Struthio camelus: one gene and its partner. The protein of the gene in region 1 purifies or fractionates together with the protein of each later gene. This does not show direct contact. Links are inferred from orthologs where the notes say so. Each region holds a gene or a part of one and is shown on either strand. Other genes may lie near its edges.

Region 1 (7,518 bases):
TAAAAAGCAAAAAAAAAAAAGAGATAAATCTGTTTCAGGTCTAACACTTCACTTCTTAGCCCTGCACAGCCCCTGGTAGCAGCTATGGAGGCATAGCGGAAGCAGGCAACACAAAACATATTTTAGTAAGAGCTCTGGGAGATTTACCTGCCGGAGGAGGAGAAGATCCTAAGTGTCAAAAATGTAGAACAGTTCCTTCAGCAGAACTCATGCTTTGTTTAAAGAAACGCTAGAAGTAAGCAATCAAAATCAAGATTTTTCCTTTTTCTGCATTGAGAATTGCAAAAATTACTCTTTATATTGGAATATACAGCAGCAAATTCAAATCTACTTTTTTGTTTAAAAAAATATATTCTCTATTCAGCTGTCAAACAGAGTATAGACAGTGAGGAAATTTCTTTTGCGGGGCACTGGGAATCCAGATTTTAAAACTTAGTGGTTAAATTTGGCCTAACAGGAAAATGGAAAATGCTGAGTAAGATTTGATCATTTGCTCAACTCCCTCCATGTAACCAGCTCAAGACGGTTAACTTTTTACAGACATCCACACAGCAGCGAACAGTGGGGAGTCAGGAAATACACGGCTCGGGGGCCTTGGCAAGTCGGGCTCCGTAGCGGCAGCAAAGCCTTATTGCTCTTTGAAACAAAGTTATGGCCTATTGCAAGTTCCTCCTTTTCTGCCACCCCCACACGTTATCTGTTGTTTTGCCCCAGCAAACACGCATGCACACATAAACAAACAGCTTTCAACGGAGAAACTCTACCCACGGTTTTTAGAAACATTTTTTAAAAAGTCTCAAGAGAAAGTACTAGGGAGAGTTATTCAAGCGCCTCTCACCTGGCCAGGTTTCATGCAAGCTTTCTCAGCCTTGACCAAATTACTGACATCCAACAGATATGCTACTTCCTCATGTTTATTCCTGTAAACTACAAACACAAGAAATGCTGAATTGTAACTTGGAGAATAGACACTCCTTAAAGGAAAAAAAAACAACAACAACTCATTTCAAACTTCCTTCCTTACTTTTTTCTTCCTCCCTCCCACTTCAGACTTGGCATTGCTTTGCTAGGTACTGCTCACGCTTTGGACAGCACGTCTCTACACACCAAGAACAGCGAGAATTGCAAAAAACCCCAAAACAAACACTTTCTCCCCAAACAACCCCCAAGCTGCAGCTAAAGCAAGTGATAAGAGGAAATAAGAAGAGGCAGCAAGAAAGAACTGGCTAAAGCTCCCAGCTCTGCTCTTTGCTAGGTCTTTTTTTTTTTTTTCGTCCCCCTCCCCCTCCTTTTTTTTTTTTTGCTGAGTTACAGAGAAAGTCAAAAGACCAAAAAAAAATCTTGGTCCTTGATCTCAGCATTGAGCCAGATTGAGCTAGATTTTCAGCTCTGTCTCTAATCTCACTTTAAACGTGCTCTCAAAATAAAACAAGCTACTTTTTTAACCTAGTCATAAAGTTTATTAAAATTGTTCATTAATGCTTCAAATGTAGCAAGAATGCATAGATCCCAAAATATACATATGTATTTTCTTATAGAAATAGATTATTCTTTATAATAAAAAAAAAAAAACTGTAGGAACATCTTTAACAGATTACTCAATTCATGACTGACAGTTACACGAGATTGCATCATGTACACAGCATTCCCAGCCATGCTTAAAGGATTGCATCACTCTGCCCTCGCTCTCCTCTCGCCGTTTTAAATAACCCCCGCGCCCCGCCGCCTGCGGAGCCCGCCCGGGGCCGGGGCCGGGGCCGGGGCCGGGGCCCCCGCGGGCAGCCCGCGCGGCAGCTCGCCGTGGCGGGGCCTTCCGCCCACACGTAAATAAAGACCAAAAAAAAAAAAAGAAAAACAAAAAAAAAACCCCGAAAACAGAACCAATCCGCCCCCCGGGCTCTCCTCCTCTCCCGGCCCGAGAGGAGGGAGCCGGCGGCGGCGCGGCCCGGCCCGGCGCGGGGGTCAGCAGCGCGGCGAGGAGGCGAGCAGGGGCTCGGGCAGCTGTTTGAACAAGTTCCTGAGGGTGCTCAGCTCCCGGGAGAGCTGCTCCACCTTCTTCTGCAGCCGCTCGTTCTCGGCCGTCAGTTCCAAGACTTTGTGCTGCGTCTCCAGGTTGCGCATTTTGGCTTTGTCGCGGCTCTTGCGCACCGCGATGTTGTTCCGCTCCCGGCGCAGCTTGTACTCGTCGCTGTGCTTGTCCACGCACTTCTTGGGCTTGCTCTTGCCCGCCGGGGGGCCGGAGTAGCCCCCGCCGGCGGCGGCCGACTTGGAGGACTCGGAGGGGTTGGGGGTGCCGGGGGGGCTGGAGGAGGACGAGGTGGACAGGTTCCCGCTGCTGCCGCTCGGCACCGACTGGTAACCCAGGTAGGAGCGCACGGTGCTGCCGTAGGGAGAGGACATGCCCCCCGGTCCCGGCCCGGCTCCCCCTTCTTCCTTACGGGGCCCCTTGCAAGAGTCCAGGGTCTCGAAGACCGGCTCCACTTTGGTCTCCACGATCTGGGGCGGGAAGCAGCCCGGCAGCCCCCCCGGCTTGTGGCTCTGGCTGGCGCAGGGGTGGCTGTGCCGGGCGAGGCTGATGTAGGTGTAGTCGGGCTTCTTGCTGCCGCCGCTGCCTTTATAGTCCTCGGCGAAGAGATCGGAAAGGAAATCTTGGCCGCCGCCGCTGCTGCAGGCAGGCTCAAAGTTGCCCCCTGCTGCTGCTGCGGGAGGAGGCGGCTGCGCCGGCTGCTGGGATGCTAAGGGGTCCAGGTAGGGGCTGAAGTCGATGGCTCTCTCGTGGTCCCCGACGGTGAGCTCGGTCATGGAGCGGCCCCCGACCGCCCGCGGGTGCAGCTTGTTCAGAGCAGCCAGACAGTCCGCCTCGTAATAGAAATTAGCCACTTCCATGGATTTAAAGGCGGGTGGCTGGATGGGGAGGCATGCTGCGTCCCAGGCCACCAGGCGTTGCATGAAAGCAAAGAGGGATGCAGGGAGGAGAAAACAGCGCAGGGGCCCCCCCCGGCAGAGGATCAAGCTGCCGCCGTTGCGGTGGGGGGCTCCAAACCCTGCCTCAGTCTCTGGTGCTGGGTACGGCCCCCAGCTGCGCTGCCCAGCACCGGGGCTGGATCAGTTCCTGCGGCACGGCGGGGCTTTACCGCTCCTGCTGGTGCTACTCGAGCCGGCGTTTCGCCTCCGGACCATCTGGTTCTGGGTCCCGTGTCCTAAAGTCTCTGACTTAGGAAAGTTCCTTTGCTCAGTTATTTATAGGGGCGGTGGATCCCATAGCAACAGGAACGTCAGCGCCTGGCCGCCTGCCACGCTGCACACTTCGCAACCGCTGGCGCTGGCCCCGCAGGAGGCACTTGGGGGGTGTGTGCGTGTGCGACTGTACCTAGCCACCCGGAATAAAACAGGGTTGGCTTTTGAGGGAGGGGACTTACTCGCACAGTCCTGCAGGTAAGAGAAAGAGCAGGGCAACCTTTCTTCCTGCCGGCTGATTTTTCTGAGCTGTTGTAAAATCTGCACGAGAGGTCAGTGGACGCTACTCGCCCCTGGAGGGTCTGCGGGACGTGGACACACACGAGTGTCGCCCGTCCTGAGACGCTGCTGCCGCCGTCGTGCCAGTACAGGCTGGATCTTTTGCACCTGAGAGTAGGGTTTAGTGCTGTAGGGCGGAAAGTGCCGTGCAGAGGTGGGTGCAAATCCCGTTTGGGTCCTGTTTTACCCTTGGGGAAATCAAGGCAGGAGGGATTTTTCCGAGTTCTTTTGCCAAGGCAGGGAAAAAGCTGCAAATAGAAGACAGATCCTGTTATTCTCCGGCCAATGTTTAATCAAGTAAATCCCACTGGCAGGCAAAACTGTCCCATAGAGACGTGCTCCGAACCACTTTACAACAGCCAGCAGGGAACTCGGTGAAATGGAGCTGGAGCAGGACACGGCGCTGCTCCAGACTTCCTTCTTGCGGCTATGAGCGGTTAGAGAGCTGAGCAAACCCTGCGCTCCCCTCCCCACCTCTTCACGCAGGGATGATGGCCTTAACGTTTGTCTTGGCGTATTTACTTTACATGATATGGTGCAACTGTCAGGGTACACAAGTGATAGGGAATTTGTGCTCTGAAACCGAAGGGGGCCGTATTTAAAGTGATTCAGAAGGAAAGTGAGATACGTGCATAGAAACATGGAATCCACGTGTTTTTAGAATTGCAGGGTAAGTTTAGGAAGGAAGACTGAATCTTGATGTCCGTTTTTAATTAAAGACACCCACCTTGGGAATCAAACTTATATTTTCTCTCTCTTACTCCCACATTTACCTGTCTACAAGCTGGTGATTCATCCCCAGAATAAAGGACATTAATTTAAAACAAAACATATAATTAAAGGAAGTAGGAGTGTCCTTCGCCTTAGTAAAGAAGGCCTAGCACTGCAGGGAAAATGACACTGCCTCTCAGAATAATGTGAAGCAATCCTGCGGTGTGGGAAATACTGTAACGTTAAGCCAGAGGAACAGGTATTGCATTATGCGATTCAAACAGTCAACTGTTCATAATGTTCAAACCTCAAAACTTTGAAAAGAGGAAGAATTCAGAAATCAGTCAGTAGACCATCAGGCTTTTCTTTCTTTTCTTTTTTCTCCTCTTTTCTTTTTCTTTTCACATTTTCAATGGCTTTTTCTTTCCATAATGAAAGTACCCTAACAGGTTTGCAGACTTCAAATATTTCTAGTTCCATCTTTATCTACCAGGCTAATCTTTGGTGAGTGCACCAGAGATTAAACTGGAGCTGGGCCTGGCCAGAGATCTGGTCTGCAGGTTGTAGCTGCAGCCCATACCTTCATGAAGACAAACATCTGTATTAGGTGCAAATGCTGGCAAGTTGTAGTGAGCCGGGGCTCGTTCTTCTGGCAGTTTACTCTTTTCTTCTATGTCTTTATCCTGCGTTCTCATCTGGCAGTTATAGGCAACGGCTGCTGTAACTGGCCCTTGCAACTGAACTCGTGGAAATTGCTCTCACGTGCTTTCTACCTCCAAGCAGAGGGACTCACAAGCAGGTGGTCTCCTACAGTGATGGCTCCCCGAAATGCATGTTTGGTCTTTGGCAGATCTCTAGCTTACCGTGGCCGTTAGCTAAAACTGAACATTAAAACTGGTAAATCTCCTGGGCAAATTTTCAAGATGTTTCTGGGGATCTCACATTTGCTTTCTTTGACCTGCTGCCCTATTTGCTGCTGCTCTGTAGCAGAAAGTTGTACCTGAGCCTAGGCCGATCTTCCCTAACAAAATGTCTGTGCAACTATCATGTGAAAGAGATTGTATCAGAGATGGTATGGCCCACACCTCCTTTCCAGGCCCGCGCTGAGTAATTCTGTACTCACGGAGATCACACGTCAGCCAGCACAGGAATTGAGGCTGGATGCCCAGCTTGTCGCCTCCATCCCGTCTCCCCCCTCACCTCCGCACTGTCCCTGCATCTCTTTAAACTTCCTCCAGCTCACCTCAAAGCCCAGCAGCCACTCACGGGGAAGCAACATCCAGTCACAACTTCTCATGGGAACCTTGTTGGCGGAATTAACCACTTATCCAAAACCCTCACATTCAGCAAGCCAGTTTTGAGCTAACTCTTGTGTCTTTTAATTTGTTTTTGCACTTGTCATAACAAATGCATGGCCAGAAATGGGGTTTTGGAAGCGTGAGCAGGTGCAGAGCAAGGCGCACACTGCGGAGGATTGTCCCAGGCAGCCTGGGCAGGGGCCTGAGCACACTCAGTCCTGTCCCTGAGACTGCTGTGGCCTGGCCTGGCCAGATGTGCACGGGCTACTAATCCTCCCCAAAAGCCTTCGCTTTAGAGAGATACTTTAGGCAGAAATTGAGGTGCAGACATTTCTTGGTTGAGGGGTCCAGGTACTGGTGTCACCCTGTGAAATACCTGAGGGTGAGAGCACTTTTGCAATGGGTGTCCTGACAGAGCAACCTTCAGCAGAAAGTCAATATTTTGTCAAAAGCGCCTGCTTTCTAATGATTTCATGATTTCCCTTTTCAGAACTAGTCAACTGGGGAAGGAGACGGCATCATTCACAGATTACTTAGTTAGAACATCAACATTTTTGAGCAAAAAAAATTTTTTTTCTGATGCAATAAAATCCAGATGCTTCCGGATTCATGCGTAAAACAATATAAATACTGGAAGGGTAGCACACTGATACCAGAAAGAGGAAAAGGTGGAGGGAAGAATCTCTTATTCACTGCTCATTTCTGTCAGGACTTAGATTCTGCCCTCCAGTTTCCCTTCTGTACTGTAAAGCCACAATTTTCCAGCTCTAGGCTCAACCCTACACTAAAGCGTTGTAGAGGCATCTTCTTTCTGGAAATTGTCTTCTTTTCCACTATTTCTTACAAGCTCTCCAGTCCTGCCCTCTAGGTTACAGCAGCTGTCCCTGAAGGACATCAGCCTAGAGGAGAAGATACCAGTTTAATAGTGACACATCATACACTGAAGTGTTTGTAAGAAGGTCTATGGATTGGGGATTGTACGCTAGGAAAAAGTTGGCTATAATTTTGATGCTTCTTGCTGCAGACTTCTCTCATGTGTTATTTGCCTTGCAGTAATTGCTAGCAGATCAGTCAGATCAGTGCTGCAGCATGGTAAGCATGGTGCGAACACGCAGCTCGCCCAGAGATCTGCGGTCCAAAAACAAGATGTTCAGGAGCAGAAGAGGGGCTAAGAGGGAAGAGGTTAATGCCAGAAGTTGATGGCGTGCACCAGTGAACAAGGTGTTGCAGACAGTGTGTTGGAGGTGAGTTAAAGAAGAGAGTGTAATGGCTTTCGGGAGAGCCTGGGAGAGCACGGGGGCGACCTGGGGAGCTTGCTGGGGGGTAGGAGGTGATCTTGTCTGAGAGGCTGACTTAAGTGGAGCCATGCTGTAATAAAAGCTGAAAAATAGAGAAGTAAAATGGAAGTTTATTTCTGAGCATGTTCTGTGCTCTGCCTTTTCCTTCTTCCTGGCCCCAGGTCCTTTTTTATGCAGCTGCCAACCTTATGCCAGCAAAAACTCAAGCGCTGTACCTGGTAGAGGCCGAATTTCAGGCTATTGCTTTGCACTCACCCTGCTCCACTGTATCAACATCAGATAGAGACAATGTCTCAACTTAGGAAGAGGCTGGCTTTCCTTCTGTCTCCCCTACTTCTCAGACCTGAGATTTTGCCTTATTTTGAAATAAAAAACTGTGGGCACCTGGTCCCCTCTCTCTTTGAACTCCAGCTTTTGTATTCAGCATTGCAAGCTCCCATGGCAGGTTGTTCGGCTGCCCGCTGCGGCCAGGTCTCCTGGCCTCGTGCGGTTCTTTCGTTGCAGCACAGAGTCCTCCCCCTGACTCAGTGCTCCCTCACCCCTTGCTCCCATGTGACATGATGATGCTCGGGTATTTGTTAGTCTTCTGCTTATTTTCTGCTCACCTCTGACCCGGCATGCTTGGCCTTTGCAGTGGTAGGTTGCTCAATCCCTGCTTTATCTACTTGCTGCTCTTTGCCCTACCGGGTGCTGCA
Region 2 (7,385 bases), on another chromosome or scaffold:
AGAATTGCAATAATTACAGCAAAGTCAATTATAATTAACTTAATGCAGGTAAGCAAGTAGCTGCCTCAGGGTAGCAATGTGGGTAAGTTAAATTTCCGCATAGTCAGCCCAGAGCTGCACAGTTCCCTGTATGCTACCTGTGTAACACAGCAAGAAACGTCTGGGCATCACGCGCCTTGACAGGAAGATAGATTTTGCTCAGAGCTATCTAAAAGTGTACCGTAAATCCACCCTGCTGTAAGTCAGAGTAGAGGCTGGTTCATTGCTAAGTGAGGTAAATACAAATCCTGAGGACAGCGAATTGCCTGATGGGAGAGAATGACACTGTCCGGCTGCACAGGTCCCCTCGCTTTCAGACTCGGTGACCACAGAATAGCCGAAGTTTTCCCACATTCTGGAGGTGAAATCCTGAACCTACTGCAGTCAAAAGGAGTTTTTCTGTTGACCTCAGTGGGGCCCGGATTTCACCTTTAGTTACTAAAGACGGGGAAATTATTTGGAACAATTTGTTATTCAGAGAGACCTTGGGAAATTTATGTAATTCTCTCCAGAAAGCCCCTGCTCATGAGTCACGTTTAAAGTACTGATACAGTTTAATCCTATAATTTCAGAAAGCAAGCAGTTACTCTTTTCCAACAAGTCAGAAACATCCCTATAATTTCCAGCTAAACTTCTCCCAACATTATCTACCATTTACCAACAGGCAACCATTCAACACATTGAAACAGGCTAAGTCCAGATAGCGCTGAACCCCTCATTGCTAGCAGCTCTGTTTGCTGACTGTCAGTCTCTTTGGCTCCCGGAGATGGTTCCATTTGACAACGTCAATTATGTTTAATGCACTCAAATCAGGACTCTTAAATTAACAGTAACAACCTACAAAATAATTAATTGGGCTCACAGTTTCCCAGCACTGGTGGTTTATTCCTTTACTCATATATTCCTCACCAGAGGAAACCAAGAATGTTCATATTTCAGCCAAGTGCCTGAGAAACACTGTTCACACCGGATTTCTGTTAGTGCTAAGGGTAGCACTGGCAGCAGTAAGTACTGTACTGTACTATAATATCCTCAGGTACTCCAGTCGGTCTCCCCTCGGTTTAAAAAGAAAAAAGGGGAGTGGGAAGGTGGCCACCCGAAGGGGAAGCACGGAGAAGGAAGTGTCCTTGGCTGTAGAAACTTGCTGCTCTCCTGCCGGAGCAGCTCACTGACCTTCTCAACATCCTGAAAGGCACCTCTATTGACTCAGACTTTAGGGAAGGGAGGGCCTACCGGGGGGCTGAGGTTTGCGTGAGGATTTCTGCCATCAGCCGACTCCCATTTCGTGGAGCTATGTGCCGCCGGTTCGCTGCTCGGGGCTCCGCAGCAGGGCTTGTGGACAGTGTCTAGCATGGTAGGGCTCCTCTCCAGCCCTGAGAGCTGTAGGACCCACCATGGTATAAATAATAAAAATATTCAGCCTTGTCTCAAAGCTACCTAGTAGGCTAAATAGATTTCCTTTTCTTAACAGTAAGGTAGATATTTTCCTGTTTCTGAAGAAGAGTTCTGCTTTTAGAAATGTTTTACAAGAATAAAAATTAGATTTTGTTATTAAAAAAATGCAACAGTTTGCCCTCCCTTCCTTTCTCCCAGTTTTTGTCCAAACGTTATCTCTCTCGATAAGCTATCAAAAGCAGTGTACCATTTTCTTCGGGTTTGTAAAGAACCTAAAACAGTTGGGGAAATACCAGGAACAGGACTGTCTAACCTTACAGGGTGAGCACACTGGGGCCTTTCCGATAGCGTTGCTGTTTGCTCTGCCAGAGCAGGGGCGCGCGTGGCCCTGGGCTCCAGGCTGCCCCGAACACCTCTGAAACCCTTGGCTGCTGAAGGTGCTGAACAGGTCACAGACCTGGCCGGTAAAGGCACAGCTCCCTCCCAGTGTGAGTTAATGCTTCCTTGCCTTATCCCTAGTTCGACAGTTAACAGCTTTTCTCTTAATGGCTCCCTCCAAATTCTGGTAGGCTCAAACAACTTTAGAGAGTTGTTCCCTCCCTACTTTTTGTTTGTTCTTTTACTGATGATTCCTTCCACCTACACTGAACTTTTACATCTCGTTGGACAATATTTTAATTTCAGGATGCAGTGCCTAGCTGTGAGGTCCCCGGCTCTATTACTTAAGCGTATTGTAGTTTAATACTGATACTATAAGTGACTGCTTCAAGTCTTTTCTCTTTGGCTTAGCTGTACACGGCTGACTGAGCCTCTTGGTTTTATTTCTTCACACAAATTCCTTTTCCTCTGGTGCTGATGCAATAAACCCCGATAACCATTGAGGTTAATCTTAAATAGCATTAAGGGCAATTACAGTTCGCAACCTCTGTGCACGCTGGTTGACCTTAAGCCTTCTGACATCCCACATCATTCCCGAGTCACTCTCTGCTGGCTTCCAGCTCCTCAAACGCTCTTACTACGAAGGGAATCGATTTCGGGCAGGAAACTCCTTCTCTCTAGCAAGTTTTCTGTTGTGTCACGCCTGACTCGATTAGGCAACAGTTCAGCAACCGCTCTTCTCCGCGGCGGTCACCGGCACGGAGGGAAAAGTGAGCGCGGCGAGATCGCACGGCGCTCGCTGCCGCTCCCAGGGCGCCGCCGCCGCCGGAGCCGGGACCGGGCATCCCCGCGGGCCGGGCGCGGGCAGCAGCCGCGGGGCCGCCCCGCACTGCCGCCACCGGGGCAGCGGCCGGCGGGCTCCCCCCGGCAGCGGCGCGGGGGCCCGGCCGGGCCGGGGGCGCCGGTCCCAGCTCCGCTCCGCCCGGCTCGTCGGGACCGGCCCCGGGGCGCCTCTCCGCGCCGGGCGGCGGGCGGCAGCGCGGCGGGCTGCGCCCCCGCCGGCCAGGGGTCCCCGCGACCGTCTCCGCTCTCACCTACCTCTCTGCCGCCGCCGCCGGTTTCCCAGCCCCGGGAGGGTCCGGAGGGAGCGGGCTCCGCGCCTGCCCCGCGGCGCTGCCCCGGCCGCGGCAGTCCGCGCTCCGCCGTCCGCGCTGCTGCTGCTGCTGCTGCTCCGCCGCCGCCGGGAGAGCAGCGCCCGCTCACCGCTCGCCGCGCCTCTGCCTCTCGCCGCGGTTGCATCACCCCCCTTATATAGCCGAGTGGGCAGCGCTGGTATTTACTCTGGCGGCGAGTCCCGGGCTGATGTCATGCTATTAATAGCCGCCGCGGGAGAGAGGGCGGCGGGGGGGGCGCGGGGGCCCGCGGCGGTGATGCAAGGCGGCCCCGCCGGCCCGGGGGCGGGGCGGCACCGCACCGCACGGCTCCGCACGGCTCGGCCCGGCCCGGCCCGGCCCGGCGCGGCACGGAGCGCGCACCATAAGACGAGCGAGCCGCGCCGAGCCGTGCCGCGCCGTGCTGTGCCGCGCTGAGCCAAGCTGCGCCGAGCCGAGCCGAGCCGAGCCGAGCCGAGCCGAGTCGAGTCGAGCCGAGTCGAGCCGTGCCGCGCTGAGCCGAGCCGAGCCGTGCCGAGCCGAGCCGCGCCGATCCGAGCCGAGCCGTGCCGTGCCGTGCCGAGCCGAGCCGCGCCGCGCCGAGCCGAGCCGCGCCGCGCCGAGCCGCGCCGCGCCGAGCCGCGCCGCGCCGCGCCGCGCCGCCGGATGGTCGCCCCGCACCTGCGTGCCGGGCCGCGAGCGACGGGACGAGCAGGGGAGAGGAAGGCAGGGGAGGGGGCGCCCGGGGCGGCCCCGGGGTCCGGGAGGGCCGGGCGGCGGTAGCGGGGGGGCCCCGTGCGCTCCGCCGGCCCCGCGAGCGCTCTCCCGCTTCGCTTCTCCCGTCCTGCTTTCATCCTTCCCCCGCCAGTCGGGGGGCGTCTTTCGGCGGGTGGGACGCCTTCTGCTGATCCAGAACGAGCCAAAGAGCCTTTCACCACACTTAGAGAAAGTGAAAATAAGGGAAGATTTTTTTCAAAAGGGCTGAAAAATGTGATCCTACTTCACTGAAAAATTGCTCAGCCCTCCCCTCCTCCCACGCATCCTTCTCCCCGTCCTGCTTCAAATGTCAGCGAAAAGTTCAGTTTACATGTGGAAGAGGACGACTTCACTTTTTACCCTGAGGAGGAAAGACCCATTCAATGGCATGACAGGAAGCTAATAACAAATAACAAAAAATCCTTTTCTTAAAACACGTCAGCTCACGATGTCCTTATGCTTTCAGGGAAAACCAAAGAGTCCGCCGTAGGAGACAGGGAAGCATGGCGGTGTTGGCTGTGGTGAAGGGGGTTTTGTTCTGTTCTGTTCTGTTTTCGTAGCTTCCTGATTCGTTAAACAACAGAAATTGCCTCCACCAGCCCCCAAAGTGCTGGAACATAGATCTGTCAAAGAAACGCTTGCCCAAAGGAGGCGCACAACGCTTGCAAGGGCAGATGCACCCACGCTGTTATCCAACACAAGCATATTCCAGAGGTGCAAAAACGGCCGTTAACAAAGTCTTCAGGTCTCTTTCTTATGTACCAAGTACGGAAAGATCAGGACATTTAAAAGCTTGAGGATGTCCTAACTGTATTAACTGATACATTTATTTATAGCTACAACTTATACCCTGAACAACAGTGTTCCAAAAAGTTAATCAATTTCATAAAGTTCAATGAGGCTGTATTATGATAATATGTCTCCAGTTGTTTATTCTGGGATGTACTAATTGCTTGGAGCATTTTAACAAGGGTATTACATTCCAGTTGATGTAACGTCCGTGGGTTTGTATCTCCCCTCCGTGTGTGACTGCCTGTGTACGCATGTAAATACCTAAATGTGTGTACATTGGTCGCATAGACATGAATAGCAGTCTTAGCTTTTTAAATGGCACCACGCTTGCATGCTCAACTTCACAATCTTAACACTATTTTATACTTCATTGTCTGCTTTGGAGAAAAAAAAAAAAAGGAAAGAAAATCTGGTGGGAAAGGAAAAGAGAGCTTGGACTAACGATGTTCGCTTTCCTCTTGCAGTAGGTACAGTTGTTCCCTGCTCTCCTCAAACGATGAAAGGCACTTTGAGGACGCCGTAATGAGCTCCTCTGACCTACCTGGCAGCCCTCAGTTTGCAACTCTTGCAAACTATAGGCTTTTCTAGCTGTAGGCTCAAGTACTCGCCTATAGATAAATCAATCTCAGCTCTTTCAAAACATGTTTATTATCTTATCTTTGTTAATCTATGTAAATCAATGGCAAATACAATTCCAGGCAAAAACTTTGCTCTTCACAGGGGTCTAGAGCAAGTTTTGCTTTTCAGCTTGGTACAGTCTGTGAAATTTTTATTACTACAAAGGCATAATTTTACCATTCATGCCCCACTCGAAAACAGCTGGCGTCATTTTTCTCAAACCCAAAGGAAAAAGTATTACTCCCGAAGGAGGCCAAATGTGGAAAATTTCATCTCAAAAGATAATTGGTTGGAAAGTTCTGAGCATGAAGTTATTGTGGAAACGGTTTAGCAACATTAGTTTTAGTGGTCATGACCAGGTGCTTGCTGTAATTCTGACAGAGAAGATTTAGCAACTGTCCATTCTTATTTTACTAGCTGTATCATAAATGGAAACTTAGAGTATTTTTAGCTAAGTAGAGCAATGCCACAGAATAGTAAAGGTGAAAAAAAAGCAATTCCCTCCTTCTATGTGGTTAGAAGTACCTTTGGAAAATAAGTACTCTTATCCTGTTGTTTAAGGGTCACTAACATTTGCCGAACAATCACAACACTGCACCAAGTAGGCAGATGATTACTGAGTTTTTGAAATAGTACTGTGTTACACAAGACTAAACCGATACGTTTGTTTTCTATACAACACTTCTTCATTACTGCTGGTACCATTATTGACAATGAGCTACGTTTGGAACTAGAAATTGACAGTAAAACAGTTGTGTTAATTCTTCAACTGCCTCTGAAATGAGAGAGCTCCTCCCTGCAAAACAAACAGAGAGATTGTTCCTGTGCGCATTTAAGATTAGGCCACTGAAACATGTCCTGGCTTGAAATTCTTCTGTAAAAAAAGAAAATGAAACCACAGGGAAAAATAAGCTAAGTTCCAGTGTATCCCATAGGTTTGATCCTGCTCCCAAAGCTAACTTGACTCAGTAAAGATGTAGGGTCCGACTCCAGCTCCCAGAAGTTACATATAACTATAAAGAATATCAGGAAGCTAAACAGTGGAGCCACCAGACGCTCTAATGCTCTTCGCCAGGTTCGTTTTGCAACATGGCTTTAAATACCTTTCATTTGCCTCCCTCTAAACGTTTACCAATGCTCTTCTCTTTCATTTGTCTGCTGCTACCAGAAACTTCAGGGGACAATCCTGCCGAAACAGCAACCATTTCGCAGCCACGAAGTCAGTGTTAATTACTCCTGCCTTCCCTGGAGCCAGGCACAGCAGCTCCTCACCAGAGCACGGACAGCTACTGGGTTTTCTCTCGGTGGAGAAAACACCACCCCGAGGAGCACCCCATGGTGTTGTCCTTGCAGCCCGCGCAGGGAGAGGAGCGCACTCCTGCCTCTACCTTTTCCTGACCACATCCTGCCTCCACATCCCTTCACGCTGCTTCAGACACTGCGGGGATTTGGTTAAGACTAAAATGTGGTTCTCTACAGAGCTGCTAAGCAATGGATTTGCACCCTCACCATGAAAGCTTTCTGCTCTCCCTTGTCTTAAAATTTATGAAACTGTACAATCTCAGTCGAAATAACACCATAAAATCCAGATCCTGTGTGGTTTTATGGTCATACAATTCCACTAAACCCATCTGGTCTGGGGAACATGCAACGAAATGTACATTAAACGTGTAGGGATATCTTGAGTAAAATCGGTCTCCCTGTGTGCTCAGTGGTTTTAGTTGTATTACTGTAGCCCTGGTGGGTCCAGTGTTTCCCTCCATGGCACACATATGAGAAAGAGCGTTCTGGAACTCCGATGTACCGTGTTGCAAAACCAGCACAAAATTAAACTCTCTGCCAAGGAGAGGTATTCGATATTTCCGTGGTGAGAATTAACTTCTGCCATGATTTGTGCTCTGCCGTACATCCAGTTCTGAACCTATGCGGTAAGATACCCCTGTTCCTCAAAACACACGCTAGTTCTCAGACTAGTTTGACATTTGACCAGACCATCAGCAGTGATGAAACTTGGGACTATGTTTTCCAAAGTTGAGGTTGCTACTGCTTGAGCGAAGGGACTATTCTGTGGTAGAAGCAGCAGCAGTAGCTCCCATCCAGCCCAGGGCTTTTCAGGTTGCTGCCTGGGGACTCCTTGGGCATCTGTGGACTGCTTCCAAGGGTCTCCCAAAAGGTGATTTAAAAAAAAAAATATATATGTATATAGTATAGTAGCTGGGATCAAATTCACCATGGAAGCATTGGACCTCTACTGGG

Evidence for each region.
Region 2: the proteins of CEBPB (region 1) and ATF3 purify together in Homo sapiens (affinity purification with western blotting; 3 studies listed by BioGRID and IntAct, with this or other methods). This does not show direct contact. The link is inferred for Struthio camelus from reciprocal best matches to the Homo sapiens genes CEBPB and ATF3.

What each region holds. Positions count from the first base shown.
Region 1 is NC_090959.1:10,031,442-10,038,959, reverse strand, and holds the start of CEBPB (CCAAT/enhancer-binding protein beta), read right to left. Parts: upstream 3,238-7,518; 5' UTR 2,950-3,237; coding exon 1,963-2,949; 3' UTR 839-1,962; intron 230-838; 3' UTR 1-229. UniProt on the Homo sapiens protein: Important transcription factor regulating the expression of genes involved in immune and inflammatory responses. Also plays a significant role in adipogenesis, as well as in the gluconeogenic pathway, liver regeneration, and hematopoiesis.
Region 2 is NC_090944.1:114,230,591-114,237,975, reverse strand, and holds the start of ATF3 (cyclic AMP-dependent transcription factor ATF-3), read right to left. Parts: upstream 3,099-7,385; 5' UTR 2,911-3,098; intron 1-2,910.